Linked DNA regions of Saccharomyces cerevisiae S288C. Changing the gene in region 3 together with the main gene of any one other region gives a genetic interaction. Each region holds a gene or a part of one and is shown on either strand. Other genes may lie near its edges.

The links. Genes that interact genetically often act in the same process or in processes that back each other up.
Region 1: mutations in HSU1 (region 3) and YNK1 together harm fitness more than expected from each alone (negative genetic interaction), as found in Saccharomyces cerevisiae (one large-scale study listed by BioGRID).
Region 2: mutations in HSU1 (region 3) and YGR210C together harm fitness more than expected from each alone (negative genetic interaction), as found in Saccharomyces cerevisiae (one large-scale study listed by BioGRID).

The regions. Positions count from the first base shown.
Region 1 is NC_001143.9:313,094-317,157, reverse strand, and holds YNK1 (nucleoside diphosphate kinase), read right to left. Parts: upstream 2,347-4,064; coding exon 1,885-2,346; downstream 1-1,884. Other genes in the region: YET1 (Yet1p), read left to right, coding at 101-721; DPC7 (Dpc7p), read right to left, coding at 983-1,204. UniProt on the Saccharomyces cerevisiae protein: Major role in the synthesis of nucleoside triphosphates other than ATP. The ATP gamma phosphate is transferred to the NDP beta phosphate via a ping-pong mechanism, using a phosphorylated active-site intermediate.
Region 2 is NC_001139.9:911,619-916,494, forward strand, and holds YGR210C (uncharacterized protein), read right to left. Parts: upstream 3,121-4,876; coding exon 1,885-3,120; downstream 1-1,884. Other genes in the region: CIR1 (Cir1p), read right to left, coding at 1-10; SER2 (phosphoserine phosphatase), read left to right, coding at 265-1,194; thioredoxin TRX2, read right to left, coding at 1,295-1,609; zinc finger-containing protein ZPR1, read left to right, coding at 3,623-4,876.
Region 3 is NC_001144.5:20,310-26,955, reverse strand, and holds HSU1 (cystathionine gamma-synthase), read right to left. Parts: upstream 3,388-6,646; coding exon 1,660-3,387; downstream 1-1,659. Other genes in the region: JLP1 (sulfonate dioxygenase), read left to right, coding at 1-1,200; glutathione transferase GTT2, read left to right, coding at 5,117-5,818. UniProt on the Saccharomyces cerevisiae protein: Plays a role in inorganic sulfur assimilation during sulfur-limited conditions; catalyzes the conversion of O-acetyl-L-homoserine (OAH) into homocysteine in the methionine biosynthesis pathway.

The DNA.
Region 1 (4,064 bases), on a different chromosome or scaffold from region 3:
GTTTCTGGTTTAAAGCTATTCGTTCATTGCAACGCTCCTTTCTGCTATCCTTTCGCAAAGTGGCAAGTACTGAAAACCGAGAAGAATAAATAATATTGCGATGAGTTTATACTTTACGACATTATTTTTATTGCTCACTGTTGAGATGGTAATGCTCTTCATCTTCGTTTTGCCTTTGCCATTCCGGATCCGTAGGGGTATTTTTAGCACCTATAACCAATTGACAGCGAAGCAGCAAATAAAAACTATAATCTTTATAACGGGTTGTCTTGTTGGCCTGTTGTTTATTGATTCATGGAAAAGGTCTCAAATTCGTGTTTCATTATACCACAACGACAACAGTGGCTCAATCGGGTCATCTGCTGTAACTCCAATACAGGCACTAGCATCAAGAGCGTACAATCAAAGAAATATGTATATTTCCGGGTTCATATTGTACTTTTCTATCTGTATCCCAACTGTCATGTCTATTGTCAAGAGACTGGTGAAATACCAAGGCTTAATCAACGAACAAGAAAAGCAAAAATTGAACAAACCTTCCTCAAACAGCAAGAAAGACTCAAATGAAGCTGATTCCACCAAACTTCAAGAGGAACTAAGGAAAAAGCAAATTTCTCTGGAGGGCCTACAAAAGCAAGTCAAAAACCTGGAGAAATATTTTGATGAGAAGAATCAACCTGGAAATGTAGCAGCTGCTGAAGCTTCCAAGAAAGGAAACTAAATAGATATATTTATGTATAAATGTATATACGTGTTACCTCTGGTGCTCATACTTCTCTGGTCGCGACGCAATACGAAAATGCTACTGAAATAAAAAGCAAGCGATTAGATCAAATGAATATATGCATTATATGTTACCAACTTTATTTTTTTTGAATATAGACGAAAAAACGTTAGAGAAAGACATAAAAAAAAAAGATTGAGCTTCGTGACTCGGTTTACCATTCTGTGTTATATACGAAAACCCTTATATAACAACTTTTTAAATTTTTTTCTCATTTTGGTATATCTTTTTAATTTCACTATGTTTGCTATCGTTCTTATAAAACAAATAAAGTAGAACTGGAATCATAACACCCACAGAACCGACCATTAGTCTAGATGTTTGTTTCTTAGGATTAGACCCTATCACAGGCTCAAAATCCTTTGAGGATACATATCTCCTACTTGTCCGTTGTAATAATTTCAAAATATTAGATCTCATCATTTAAAAATGTAAGCTTTTTTTTACTTGAGTTTTTGTTGTCAGAGTTAGGTCCAAAGTCCCTAGAATAGTGTACGCGATAAAACTCAGCTGCAAGTCTAATATATACATTCCGCCAGAAATTTCAATTTGGGATCCCTGCATATTGCCAAATTTATTGGAGAAACTGTTAAACCTAAAAGAACGGTAGTAGCTCTATCAACTTAAGGGTTGGGCACCCTTAAATGTTTCATTCAATAGGGAGATCCATTTCAAGTTGCCTATTTACTTGTACCCCTACATAGTCCAAGGGCGATGAACTACCTATAATAATGCCGGTAGGCATGCTTCCGGATATTACAAGACTATTCGCTGAAACCGTATGAACATCGTACGTTCCGCGATTGTAATAGACCTTTGCCAACTTGTATTTTTCGATGATACTATAAAGTTCGGAAAGAAGAAGGAAGTGTGGCAATTTCACTGGGAGCCAAAAGCATTTGACATCAGGCGTCATTGAAGCGTCATTAAGTATTATAAATTCGTATATAAGGGTAGCAACATAAGTGGTATTTTTTTTATATAATCGTGCTCCTTCTAAAAAATTCATTATATTATTAGCTAGTGAGGGAACATGATATGAGCTGCCCAAAGCGAGAAAAAAAAGGCGCTCATATGTACCCTCCCATGCCATAAGTTATTCATTCATAAATCCACTTAGCTTGATTAGATTCCCAATCAACTAACTCTTCCTTCTTAAACCACAAATTGATTTCACGTTCAGCGCTATCAACAGAATCACTGCCGTGACAGACGTTTCTGCCTAGGTCAATACCGAAATCACCTCTAATGGTACCTGGTGCACTGCCCAAAGGATTAGTAGCACCAAGAATAGTTCTTCCTTGTCTAACCACATCTTTTCCCTCCCAGACCGTGGCCAAAATGGGACCAGACTTCATAAAGGATACCATCTTTGGGAAAAATGGTTTACCAACATGCTCTGCGTAATGTTGCTCTAGTAATTTATCATCCGCTTTAACTAATTTAATAGCAACTAGTTTGTAACCTTTTTTTTCAAAACGAGATAGAATTTGAGATACTAAGCCCCTCTGGACACCATCTGGTTTTACCGCAATAAAAGTTCTTTCTGTTTGACTAGACATTTTTCCAGGGATGATTTATGAGATGTTTTTCCGGAAAGAACCTGATAACTTGATAAAGTATTCTATAGATAACCTATTTCAAAATAAGAAAACGATATGAGCTAACGAAGTACTAAGTCTTTCACTTTATATAATCGGCTCTCCGAATTAAAGTACTTTTAAGGAGGAAAACTGGTCTTCATTTTCGAAGACACGAAACGAAGCGAATTACGCGCCTTTTTATTTGATGGACTTGCTCGCCAGCCCAATGGATACGAACAAAAATTAATTCAAAAAATAGGAAAAAATGAAGACTCAGTGGATTCTGATGTAATTGTTGGGATTCCATTGTGATTAAGGCTATAATATTAGGTATGTAGATATACTAGAAGTTCTCCTCAAGGATTTAGGAATCCATAAAAGGGAATCTGTAATTCTACACAATTCTATAAATATTATTATCATCGTTTTATATGTTAACATTCATTGATCCTATTACATTATCAATCCTTGCGTTTCAGCTTCCACTAATTTAGATGACTATTTCTCATCATTTGCGCCAGCTTCTAACACCGTATATGATAATATACTAGCAACGTAAATACTAGTTAGTAGATGATAGTTGATTTTTATTCCAACAAAAAAGTCAGACTGGACGCATTATAATGCTTACTCATCTACTTTTTTTGCTTTCACTTGCTAATTTCAATATGCTTTCTTGATGTTTCTTTCATTTGCTCTTTCATCAGACATTCTATATCGGTCACTTTTTTACTCGTAACTTTAAATGTGATAAATGGGGAAATGGAGTGGTACAAGCATTCGAGTATATTTAATTCTTTCCCTTCCTTTCATCGAGAAGGAAACTGCTATAAATTCACCATTACGGAAAGCTTATGTAACTACTCCCCTTTTGTTGGAATTGAACTCTAATATCATCTATTTAATATTATATTATCACATGCGGTGTGAGAAGATGACATAAAGATTGAGAAACAGTCATCCGATCTAATGGAAGCTGAAATGCAAGGATTGATAATGTAATAGGATAATGAATGACAACATATAAAAGGAAGGAAGATAAAATAATAACATTATGTAGAACTATCGATTCCCTTTTGTGGATTCCTATATCCTCGAGGAGAACTTCTAGTATATTCTGTATACCAATATTATAGCCTTTAGCAGCAATGGAATCCCAACAATTATCTAACAACTCACATATTTCTCCCCTTTATCAGTTCTACGTTGTAATGCTTCTTTACAGTCACCACTTGTAGGTTTAACATAAAAAAGCAAAGAGTACATAATATTTATTCAACCAGATGTGCAGATGTAACCAAAAACTTCACAGTTGTTTGCCATCTTAGTATAGTGGTTAGTACACATCGTTGTGGCCGATGAAACCCTGGTTCGATTCTAGGAGATGGCATTTTATTTTTTTCCTTTAGCCTTCATGGTCTGTCCGTTTTTATTTCATGAGACAACCTTTCTGCATCTGGCGATGCCACCAACCTTCATTGAAAAGAGGTCAATGTTCTTCTACAAAGGTTATAGAACCTCTTCATTTTTGTCTCCTCAAAATCCCATTCAAATGTGCCATGGCTGTTGATCAGGCATTTTCGGTCACACAATTACAATTAAGTATTTTTGTTTTCCGACAATTATTATATATACAATACAACGAAAATCTATCAGCTGAACATCTAGACTACTTAGACGATACAAGGATTCTCTAC
Region 2 (4,876 bases), on a different chromosome or scaffold from region 3:
TTGCAGACATTTTTATTACTCTTTCTGATACTTGATTATCGGGGTTATTGATCCTAGTGTGTCTTGACAACGTTTCTCGAATCAGGATTATTTTACACCGAGAAAGAAAGAGTCAATACTAATAATCTCGAAAGATCTTCAAGTGAAAAATAAAAAAAAATGATAAATAAAAAATAGAAACTATGAAACTATGTAAAAAAAAAACAAATAGACATATCCAAGCAAGTCCAATAGCATAGACATTAAGCACGACAGCTGTAAAAAATGTCAAAGTTTGTTATCACCTGCATAGCTCATGGAGAAAATCTCCCAAAAGAAACCATCGACCAGATTGCGAAAGAAATTACTGAAAGCTCGGCGAAAGATGTATCAATCAATGGTACCAAGAAACTATCGGCCAGAGCTACCGATATATTCATTGAAGTCGCAGGATCGATTGTTCAAAAAGACCTCAAGAATAAGCTGACGAACGTCATTGACAGTCATAATGATGTTGATGTTATTGTTTCTGTCGACAATGAATATCGTCAAGCCAAAAAGCTCTTTGTCTTTGACATGGATTCAACATTAATCTACCAAGAGGTCATCGAATTGATTGCCGCTTATGCTGGTGTTGAAGAACAAGTGCACGAGATCACAGAAAGAGCCATGAACAATGAACTTGATTTCAAAGAGTCTTTAAGAGAACGCGTTAAATTATTGCAAGGCCTCCAAGTCGATACACTATATGATGAAATAAAACAAAAGCTAGAGGTCACCAAGGGTGTGCCAGAACTATGCAAGTTCCTTCACAAAAAAAATTGCAAGCTCGCTGTTTTAAGCGGTGGTTTTATTCAGTTTGCCGGTTTTATCAAGGATCAGTTAGGTTTAGATTTTTGTAAGGCAAACTTGTTGGAAGTTGACACTGATGGAAAATTAACCGGTAAAACACTGGGTCCTATCGTAGACGGACAGTGCAAGAGTGAAACCCTTCTGCAACTATGTAATGACTACAATGTTCCAGTTGAAGCAAGTTGTATGGTGGGTGACGGTGGTAACGACCTGCCAGCCATGGCTACCGCCGGGTTTGGGATCGCATGGAACGCCAAGCCAAAGGTGCAGAAAGCTGCACCTTGTAAGTTGAATACCAAGAGCATGACTGACATTTTATACATTCTTGGTTACACCGATGATGAAATATACAATAGACAATGAAGAAAATAATGATAGATAGATGTAATAGAGTTTCTTTTTAAAATTGTTTATTTAAACTGGTAAACATGATGTACTTTACGTAGCGTTAATATACCGGCAACTATACGTTGGAAGCAATAGCTTGCTTGATAGCAGCTGGGTTGGCACCGACGACTCTGGTAACCTCCTTACCGCCCTTGTAGAAGATTAGGGTAGGCATGGAAGAAACTTCAGCTTTTTGAGCAACATCTGAGACTTCATCAACATCCAACTTGTAAAAAGCAGCGTCAGAATATTGTTCTGCAAACTTTTCAATCATTGGTGCAATCATTTTACATGGCCCACACCATGTGGCAAAAAAGTCAACAACGACTAACTTGTCGCCAGATGCTAAAGCACTGTCGTATTCAGAAGCGGATTTTAATTGAGTGACCATTATTGATGTGTTATTTAAAGATATCGTAGACTCTCGTGTATGTGTGCGTGTATAATTCTTGCTAGACAACAAATAAAAACTGGTCCTCGTTATTCTCTTGTCAGCTTTTCATCCCCCGAATGGCTTTCTTATATACTGATATCCCTCTTTCGGCTGGCTGGAAACTGAACGCGCTTAGTAAGAAAAGAGCCACCTTGTAGGGAGCATCCTTTACTAAGAGTATAAACAATTACACATATACTTTGATGATTACTTAATATTCACTGGCACTCAAGTTATGCTGATCTTGGAGCGATCTTGAAGCCGAGTATGTCATTCTTACCGGGCTCAACAAGACTTTCTTCACTGACTCTCACGCCGCCAACGGTTTCAATGCTTGCAATGGTGACCTCGCCACCCATGATATACCTGGCAACTTTGCCAACAGGGGTTCCTCGCTTGACCAAAAAACAATCTCTAAATACGTTGGTTCCGTTGCCACCCGTAAAAGTCTGGATGTTCTTCACAGTGTACACCGGTATTAGACCAAGGATGTCCGTTGCTGCTTGCAGAACCTGAACAACACCCGTAGATCCGAATCTATACAGGACCAAATCTCTGATATTTTCAATTCTGTTAAGGATCTTGTCGTCCAGTGGCTTTAGTTTGTCTGGCTCGTCCTCAAATGTGTCAACAAATTCCGTGCCCTCCTCGTATAATATAAAACCTTGCTTTTTCAATTTCCTCAAAAAAACTTCCGTCACTGCACTGGTCAGTACAGCTTTGGTGTCAGGATACTTTAGCATGATTTTAGAAACATTTTTATCGGCGTCAGGGTGGTCAATCTTGTTGAGTGCCAACACAGTTGGAAATTTCTCCATCATAAAGGACTTGACCACTCGAGTGATCCATTCGTCATCCCATTTTTCCAAAGGTGGTAGTCCCTTCAACCTGTCCAGGGCTTTTTGGATCATGGGCGCATGTGAACCGTACCCACCGAATTGCGCTTGAAGTGTGTCCACTATGCTAGATTTCGTTGCTGTATGTTTACGCACAATAGACCCCCATCTTTTCTTCAGGTTCCCCTCAACCCAAAGCCTGATTTCGTCTTGCAGCCATTCTATATCGTTCAATGGATCATATCCTCTTGTGTTCTTCCCCTCTGCATCTGTGGTTCCACTAACGTCCACCACATGAATAAGAGCATCTGCGTGTCTTAAATCATCCAAGAATTTATTTCCAAGCCCTCTGCCGGAATGCGCTCCAGGCACAAGCCCTGCCACATCCAACAGTTTGATGGGGATATGCCTCTTACCCTTGCTACACCACCCGTAGTTAGGTTTACAAAGATCTTCCTTGCCAAATCTGGAGCAAGCACACTCAACTTGCAAGTAGCCGGTTGCCTGATTTGGCTCGATCGTGGTAAAGGGAAATGCTCCTACCGCCGCACCTGCGTCCGTCAAAGAATTTAATGTGGTGGATTTCCCTGAAGATGGCTTACCCACAATACCAATCAATGGATCCCTGGGCATACTGGCTCTATTTCCGTTTTATTCTTACAGACAGCTTATACTACAAGTTAGTTGGACAAAAGCTAAAAGACGGAAAACGAAAACGCAAAATGAAAATAAAACCAACTCTCATTACAATTCATCCTAGAACACTTACACATCTGTTTTGCACTGCATAGCATTACATTTCTTGCATATCTATCTATTCGAGAAAAAAAAAAAAAGGCATCGAGTGAATTTTTCACCTTGATAAAAAAGCCCTTACTAACCCTACAATAAATTGTGCCGAAACCCTCTGGAGTTTTCTAGAATATTCTAGCCCCATCAGGGCTAGAATATCCTAAAAGTTTATAGTTGACGAAAATTTTTCAGCGATGAGATGCACATTTATAATGCTATGATGTTCAACGCAAAGGAAATCATAGCGTTATCGGGTAGGTTCGCATCGTTAGCAATAGCTAGTCGCATATATACACAGAGATACATATTATACCTATACCGTTAAGAAATAGGATAGAAAATAATGAGCGAACAAAAGGAAGATTTGTTTAAACCAGTAGGAGAAGCTGCTGCAGAGGTCGAAGATGAAAGCATAGCCGAACAGAACAAAGCTAATGACGGCGTCAAGTTAACCGGCGCACAGGACGCCATGGGCCATCCAGTGCAAGAGATAGAGTCTCTTTGTATGAATTGTGGAAAGAACGGTACAACCAGACTTCTTCTGACTTCCATCCCTTATTTCAGAGAAATAATTATTATGTCATTCGACTGTCCTCACTGTGGGTTTAAGAACTGTGAGATCCAACCCGCTTCTCAAATTCAAGAGAAGGGCTCTCGTTACGTTTTGAAAGTGGAGTGCCGTGAAGATTTTAACAGGCAAGTTATTAAGTCAGAAACTGCCACTTGTAAGTTTGTCGAGCTAGACATTGAGATTCCTGCTAAGAGAGGTCAATTGACGACAGTTGAAGGTTTGTTATCCGAGATGATCGACGATCTGTCGCAAGACCAGGAAATGAGAAAATCTATAGACGAAGCTCTTTACAAGAAGATCGATGACTTCATACAGAAAGTTAAATCCTACATCAATTGTGAACCCAACACTATTCCGATTACATTTATTTTGGATGATCCTGCGGGAAATTCCTGGATCGAATACAAACCCGGTGAACCTCAACACAAATGGTCTCATACCCAGTACGTGAGAACCGACGAACAAAACGTTCAAGTTGGCATTATTACTAGAGACCAGTTGGAGCAACGTCGCCAAGAACAATTAAAACAATTGGCCAACCGTGAAAGAAATCCTTCTGAATCTGTCAAAGTTGGCTCAGCAAACCCACAGTTTTTGTCAGACGCCACCGACATCGAAAACTTTAACAACGAGGTGCAAACATTCAGAGCTTCTTGTCCATCGTGTACCCAAGAGTGTGAAACTCATATGAAGCCAGTAAATATCCCACACTTTAAAGAAGTCATTATCATGTCGACGGTCTGCGATCATTGTGGTTATAAGTCTAATGAGGTGAAGACCGGTGGTGCCATCCCTGACAAAGGAAGAAGGATTACTTTATACTGTGACGATGCAGCTGACTTGTCCCGTGATATTTTGAAATCTGAGACCTGTAGTATGGTAATTCCTGAATTACATCTTGATATTCAAGAAGGTACATTGGGTGGTAGATTCACCACTTTGGAAGGTTTACTAAGACAAGTCTACGAAGAACTAGAATCCCGTATTTTCACTCAAACTTCGGATTCCATGGACGAAGCAACGAAA
Region 3 (6,646 bases):
TCTACCGATTTACCAGTCAAAATCATTACAAATGGGTTGAAAAACCTGAATTATACCTCCAAGCAAGGTTACGGGAATTTTGATACCCATTTTTATGATGGCCAAGATGAGGTCTCTCCATCTGGTTTATTGAAAATCCGTAAATCTTATAGAGAGAAATCGAAGTATCCAGATTATTTGCCTACATGGGATCCTACTGAAAAGTATGGCCCGCTGGAATTTCACGAATACCATGATCCTGCTTTGAGAGCTGACGGTAACTTTTCAAACCTTTTTGCAAAAGAAAACGTTGGTCAACTAAAGGTGAAGAAGATCACCCCGAAATTAGGTCTCGAGATCAATGGGATCCAGCTAACTGATCTTTCTGATGCTGCAAAAGATGAACTCGCTTTGCTTGTCGCCCAAAAGGGAGTAGTTGTCTTTAGAAATCAGAATTTTGCTGACGAGGGACCCGATTATGTGACTGAATACGGAAGACATTTTGGCAAGTTGCACATTCATCAAACTAGTGGCCACCCTCAAAACAATCCTGAGCTGCATATCACTTTCCGAAGACCTGATGCGGAAGAATTTGCAAGAGTTTTTGATGACTCGACATCATCTGGTGGCTGGCACACAGACGTCTCTTACGAGTTACAGCCACCTTCTTATACTTTCTTTAGTGTTGTTGAAGGTCCTGATGGTGGTGGAGATACGTTATTTGCGGATACGATCGAGGCTTTCGACAGGTTGTCGAAGCCTTTGCAAGATTTCTTGAGCACGCTTCATGTCATCCATAGCTCAAAGGAACAGGCAGAGAATTCACAGCGCCAGGGCGGCATAAAAAGAAGAGCACCTGTCACGCATATTCATCCACTGGTCAGAGTTCATCCTGTCTTGAAAAAGAAATGCTTGTATGTCAATCGTGCATTTTCTAGGAAAATAGTCGAATTGAAAAGACAAGAATCTGAATCACTTTTGAATTTCTTGTACAATCTAGTGGAGAGCAGCCATGATTTACAGTTAAGAGCCAAATGGGAACCTCATTCCGTCGTCATTTGGGATAACCGCAGAGTTCAACATTCAGCAGTGATTGATTGGGAAGAACCAATTCACAGACATGCGTTCAGGATTACTCCACAAGCGGAAAGGCCCGTGGAAGATCTAAAGTTTTTGAATGATGAAAATTATTATCCTTCTTCATTAACTTTGGATATTTGAATTTCAAAGATGCAGGTTGTATATAGCCGGAATTCGTTGCAGAGGCAGTTCCAACGTTGCTCAACTTATTCTTTTTTTTGGTTAAAATTGTGTATAAACCTTAAAATAGCGGCGACAACACTTCTTTTTTATAGTTTATAGTAAACCCCAACCTGTGTACATATAAACTAAAGAAAAACTGTGACGCTTTTATTCTGGTAAAGAAACTCTGAAGTTACAGATCAACTAATTCAGAGCGATATAATGTTGAAGTCAATAAGAAGGAACATCTTCAGTTTATAAACAACTAGTGATCTTATGAGCTCTGTCTACTTTCATTAATTAAGATCCATGTGAAGGTTCCAGAAAAGACTTCCTCCAAAAAAATTATATGCTAGAATGGAAAAAAACTTTTATAAACAATATTCTATAAAGATTATAAAGAATTCTTGATTTTTGATATTCTACTCATGATCTGCTTCATGAGTGTTTGGAGCCTCTGCTTTTCACAACATCTAAAGCACTTGAAAAAACTTTCAATAACCACTGGATATCTTCTAAACCTACGCTTACTCTAATAATGTTGGGGTCGGCCCCAAACTTGGAAACTTCTTCTAATTCTGAGTGGTGCGCCAGATGGACATATGGACATGCTAAGGTAAAGTTAGTACCATTAGAAGGTCCCTTGAATACCTTTAAAGAGTCATAGAATGCTTTTGCATCGCCCTCATTGAAAAAGGCTACAGAGAACAAGCATCCATAGCCACCACGTTCATTACGTACACTTTCGTAGTTCTCAAAGGTCTCCTTAGAAGTAACAGTTGGATAATAAATCTTTTTGCATATTTTCCCCTCCTCGGGTAAAAGCAAATCATTCAACAATATTCCTGTGTTTGCATTAGCACGTAAAGTTCTATCTTCAAAATCCCTGGAATTACGTTCTAAAACTATCGCATCTTCACACCATAACAAATCCTCGAAATTAGCGCTCCTGAAGTACTCACGAGCATATGGATACAGAGATGATTTCGGATTTAAAACGACAGAGCCGCCCATTACATTACTAGCACCATTGAAAAGCTTAGTCAGGGACGTGCTGACTATATCAGCATAGGGCAAGATGTCAACGTTAAGGCCCCCAATAGTATCATCAATTACAATAAAAAAGCCATACTGGTCGGCCAAACTCCTCAATTTTTTCAAATCCGGCATATTCAGCAGAGGATTTGAAGGTGTCTCGACGAAAACGGCAAGAATGCGTTGTTTGCTTGTTTCTAAAAACTTTTGTAATTCGACAACGTCTCTAGAATTTCCAAATCCAAAAAATTTACATTTTCCAAATTTAGTCATAATGACCTGCGTATCTTTGAAAGGGAAGCCGAAGATGCCAACAGTGTCACATAATAATGGCTTTTTCTTTTGGTCAGAGGTGGTCTTGTTTAATGAATCTCCTGAATTCTTCTTCTCCTCCCAAAAGGTGAGTAAATTACGAGCCGTAGATATTGCAGACATGCCACTTGATACAAGATAAACGTCTTCATTTGGGTTGAGGTTGAGTCCCTCCCAATTCGGGGTTTTCTTCTCCAAACCAAAGGGCCTGAAGCGATTCTCAACTATCCTTCCCTTTATCAGGTTCTTTGCTTTCTCCTCCCCCTTCTTTGCTGCAAAAACACCAGCCTCTAGCTCACGCAATACCTGCTCTGAGCCATGATTAGCGCAGTCAAGAAGTTGGTTGACAGACAACGCCAATCGACTAGATACACATTCACCTCTTAATTTCCAATACTCTTTCACAGTCTCGAACTCTTCCTCCGATGCAAGGACAGCAGCAATGGTTAGCACCAATTCCGCCGGTTCTTTCGACGTTTTTGCCCCACGGTTTTTAATCGTAACTGTTTCCACTTCAAGGTGAGCTTTACTTTCAGGTCCTGAGACAGATTTTACGTACTCGAAACACTTTAAACCCAGGTTAACGGATGGAAAAGGACGACAGTTTTCTGAACCTCGCCCAAATTTCTTAACAAAGTAAGCACAAAGCCTCTGGACGGGGGGTTGAGGAAAGTACCTCGGATATCCTGTAGCCATTTTGCCTATTACCTCTGGCACCTTTTCCGCATAGCCTATTGCCGAATCCCATGTAGGAATGCCAAAAGAAACAGCATAGTCTAGATTGCTGGGAAGGGGTTGCCCAAATTCAATTTCCGTCATAATAATTTCCACGATGATTAATAGTTGTTCAGTGGTGGTTGAGTACTAGATTTAAAATTTATGTTTTACCGCACCAGAGAAGAATCACTCAATGCTGGAATTGATGAATTGCATCTTGACAATAGGCATTAATATACTTTTTCAAACACATCATTGTAGTGTGCGGCATAACAACCGTGGCGCGTGTCAAGGACTTCTCGGAACACATGCTAAAGCTCCAGTCTCTATCCGTCTATTCTTTAATTTGCTCGTTTAAGAAAGAATAAAATGCCGTATACAGTTATTTCTTCCGTAAATAAATCTTCTTCAACATCCTTTCTTGAGAGCAGCCACACAAATCTAGAGGTGTCTGACTTAATGCAACACAAGGTCAATCTGAATTCAAAGCTGTGGCTGCATATTCATTAAACATATCTTTGAAGGATATCATTTTAGGTATTGCATTGAGTGGGCTTTTGAATCAAAGCCTAAAATGGGAGTATTATGAAAGCAGAGTAAAAATGTTCAGCACGTTGATCTTGAAAGCAGACGGAAAGTCTTATTAGATGAAATTAATGCTGAAATCTCGAAACTGTTCGCTCAGCTACCATGTGCATGTGTGTGGTGTTGGTATATTTTAGTATACTTCTTGATAAAGGTACCAAAGTACTGTATACACATGATAATAACTGGTTAGTCATCCTGGTGTTTTACTTCTTGGCATTCGGCTCGATCATGAGGATTTCGGGCCGAACCTGCTCCGAAGAAATGAAGAAATCTTTCGGCCAGGCATCATATCACAATGGGTTGCAGAATTTCTCGAAGGAATCACCTGTAGGAGTGAACCTCGAAAAAAAGAAAACACATATTTCATGCTGCATCATCCTTGCAACACAACGCTTCCTGCAGAAGTTTTCGAACAAAAGGCTTGGCAATCCTCACTTACACCCCACTCGCGAATCCACATTTTCACGTGAGCTTGCAACAGAGAATAATAGCGGAAACTTTCCCGTATTACTTAGATATCATATCTTCAGACAGCTAGATATCGAAAATGGAATTTTATTATGTCAAGTTCTGCAGGCGCTAATTATTGTTCAAGTAATGTTTTCGTGAGTCTAAAAGCTCGTACAATAGTTCTTTTTTTGGAACCCATTATGAAGCGGAGTGGATGAATAATACGGAATGAAAAGGGCGATAATGGCAAACAATTACGAGCAAAATTCGATGGATGCCGTATCACATTTGCGACAAAAAAATGATCAAAGATGGTAATAGAGTAAAATTTCACGAATGGAGGGCAGATACAAGAGCGAGATGCCAATAGATCGCAGATTAATGCAGCTGCATTTTCATCAGAAAGAGGTGCGCGTGAACTGTAGGAACAGTAGTGCAATTGGGAGTACGTTAACCACACATTTTGAAATCAAGAAGGAAAGTAGGCGCTGGAAATGACCCGAATCCTATAATCGGACAAGAAGGACATAGAAATCGGTATTTACAGTAAATATTCAAAAGACCTTCTACTACCGTGTGCAAAACAGGGAGTGGATACAAGTGGTTTGATCAAATGGAAGTATTTGATACTTCAGTTTCTCCGTTCCGTGTCCGTTCCCTTAGGTCGCGCTTAGTGCTCGAATTTCTTTCACTGCTTACTAATTCATTCGTTTACGTCTCAAATGATTAATAATGTGCTTCCTGCTAAAGGATAGAAACTTGGTGCTCTATATAAAGTACCTACAAAGGATACATGAATGGCAGAGGTTTCCTGATTTACAATGGAGGTGAAAAGATGAAACAAAAAATGATAATATATGACACACCCGCAGGGCCTTATCCGGCCCGAGTCCGCATTGCCTTGGCTGAGAAGAACATGCTATCAAGTGTGCAATTTGTGAGGATCAACCTCTGGAAGGGAGAGCACAAGAAGCCTGAATTTCTTGCCAAGAACTATTCAGGCACAGTGCCAGTGCTTGAACTTGATGACGGGACTTTAATCGCTGAATGCACAGCCATTACTGAATACATTGATGCACTTGATGGTACACCCACTCTTACCGGCAAAACACCGCTGGAAAAAGGCGTAATCCACATGATGAACAAACGCGCAGAGTTGGAACTGCTCGACCCTGTTAGTGTTTATTTTCACCATGCTACACCTGGATTGGGGCCTGAAGTCGAGCTTTACCAAAACAAAGAGTGGGGACTTCGCCAGCGCGACAAAGCCCTACATGGAATGCATTATTTTGATACCGTTCTCAGAGAACGCCCATATGTTGCTGGTGATTCATTCTCAATGGCTGACATCACAGTAATAGCTGGTCTAATATTTGCTGCAATTGTAAAACTACAAGTGCCGGAAGAGTGCGAGGCGCTTCGAGCTTGGTATAAGAGAATGCAACAGCGCCCCAGCGTGAAGAAACTGCTAGAAATCCGTTCAAAATCCTCGTAAAGTGGCTACTTGAGACAAGTTTTGCGTGGTACGTGGAAACTATATAAAAAGATCCAATCATGAAGCTATTCAAGAGGGTGCCATAGCTATATATAACTGATCGAAATTAGGGCTACAAAATTTAGGGGTTCTTCGCGGCGCCATTCTGTCAAGTAAAAAAATAGCTCAAGCAGTATTCTATAAAAGAATATATATACTATATATGTTAATTGTTTGACGGTGAAAGATTAAACATCAATATCATGATTCGTATTCCTTCCTTTTTATTCGTGATGTTGAGTAAGGTACAAAACCATACCAAACCACTGAAGACAATATCCTTACAGGTAGTTACATTTGCATCGATATTGCCGCGGTAGAGATTACTACTGAAATTCTTTGCTGCTTGCCGACTAGAAATTTAAGAAGATTTCAAATATGTTGGAGCTCACAAGGGGTCACTAAAGTTGGTGCAATAAAAAAAATTTAAGGAAACATGAAATAATGTTTGCAATAGAGAACTTCTAAGTCTGAGCTTGTGACACAAACAACTAATAAATTATGGTCACAGCTCATCCATTGGCCCAATGTAAGTTCTTCAAAATTACACTGTGATTGCGGTCCTACCAATGGCAGCCGTATGTAGAACAGGTCATGAATTTTCAAATATCAGCACCACCCAACGAGAAATATGGGATTACTACGCCATACTCAAAATATAATCACAGGAAGATTGACGTCTTGTATGCATAGGTGTGGGGCGACGGGAATCATCCGTTCAAGCACTAAGATACAAGGTACAAGTATACTATCAAGCCATTAGTTCTAGCATGAAAAATAACAGCTGTT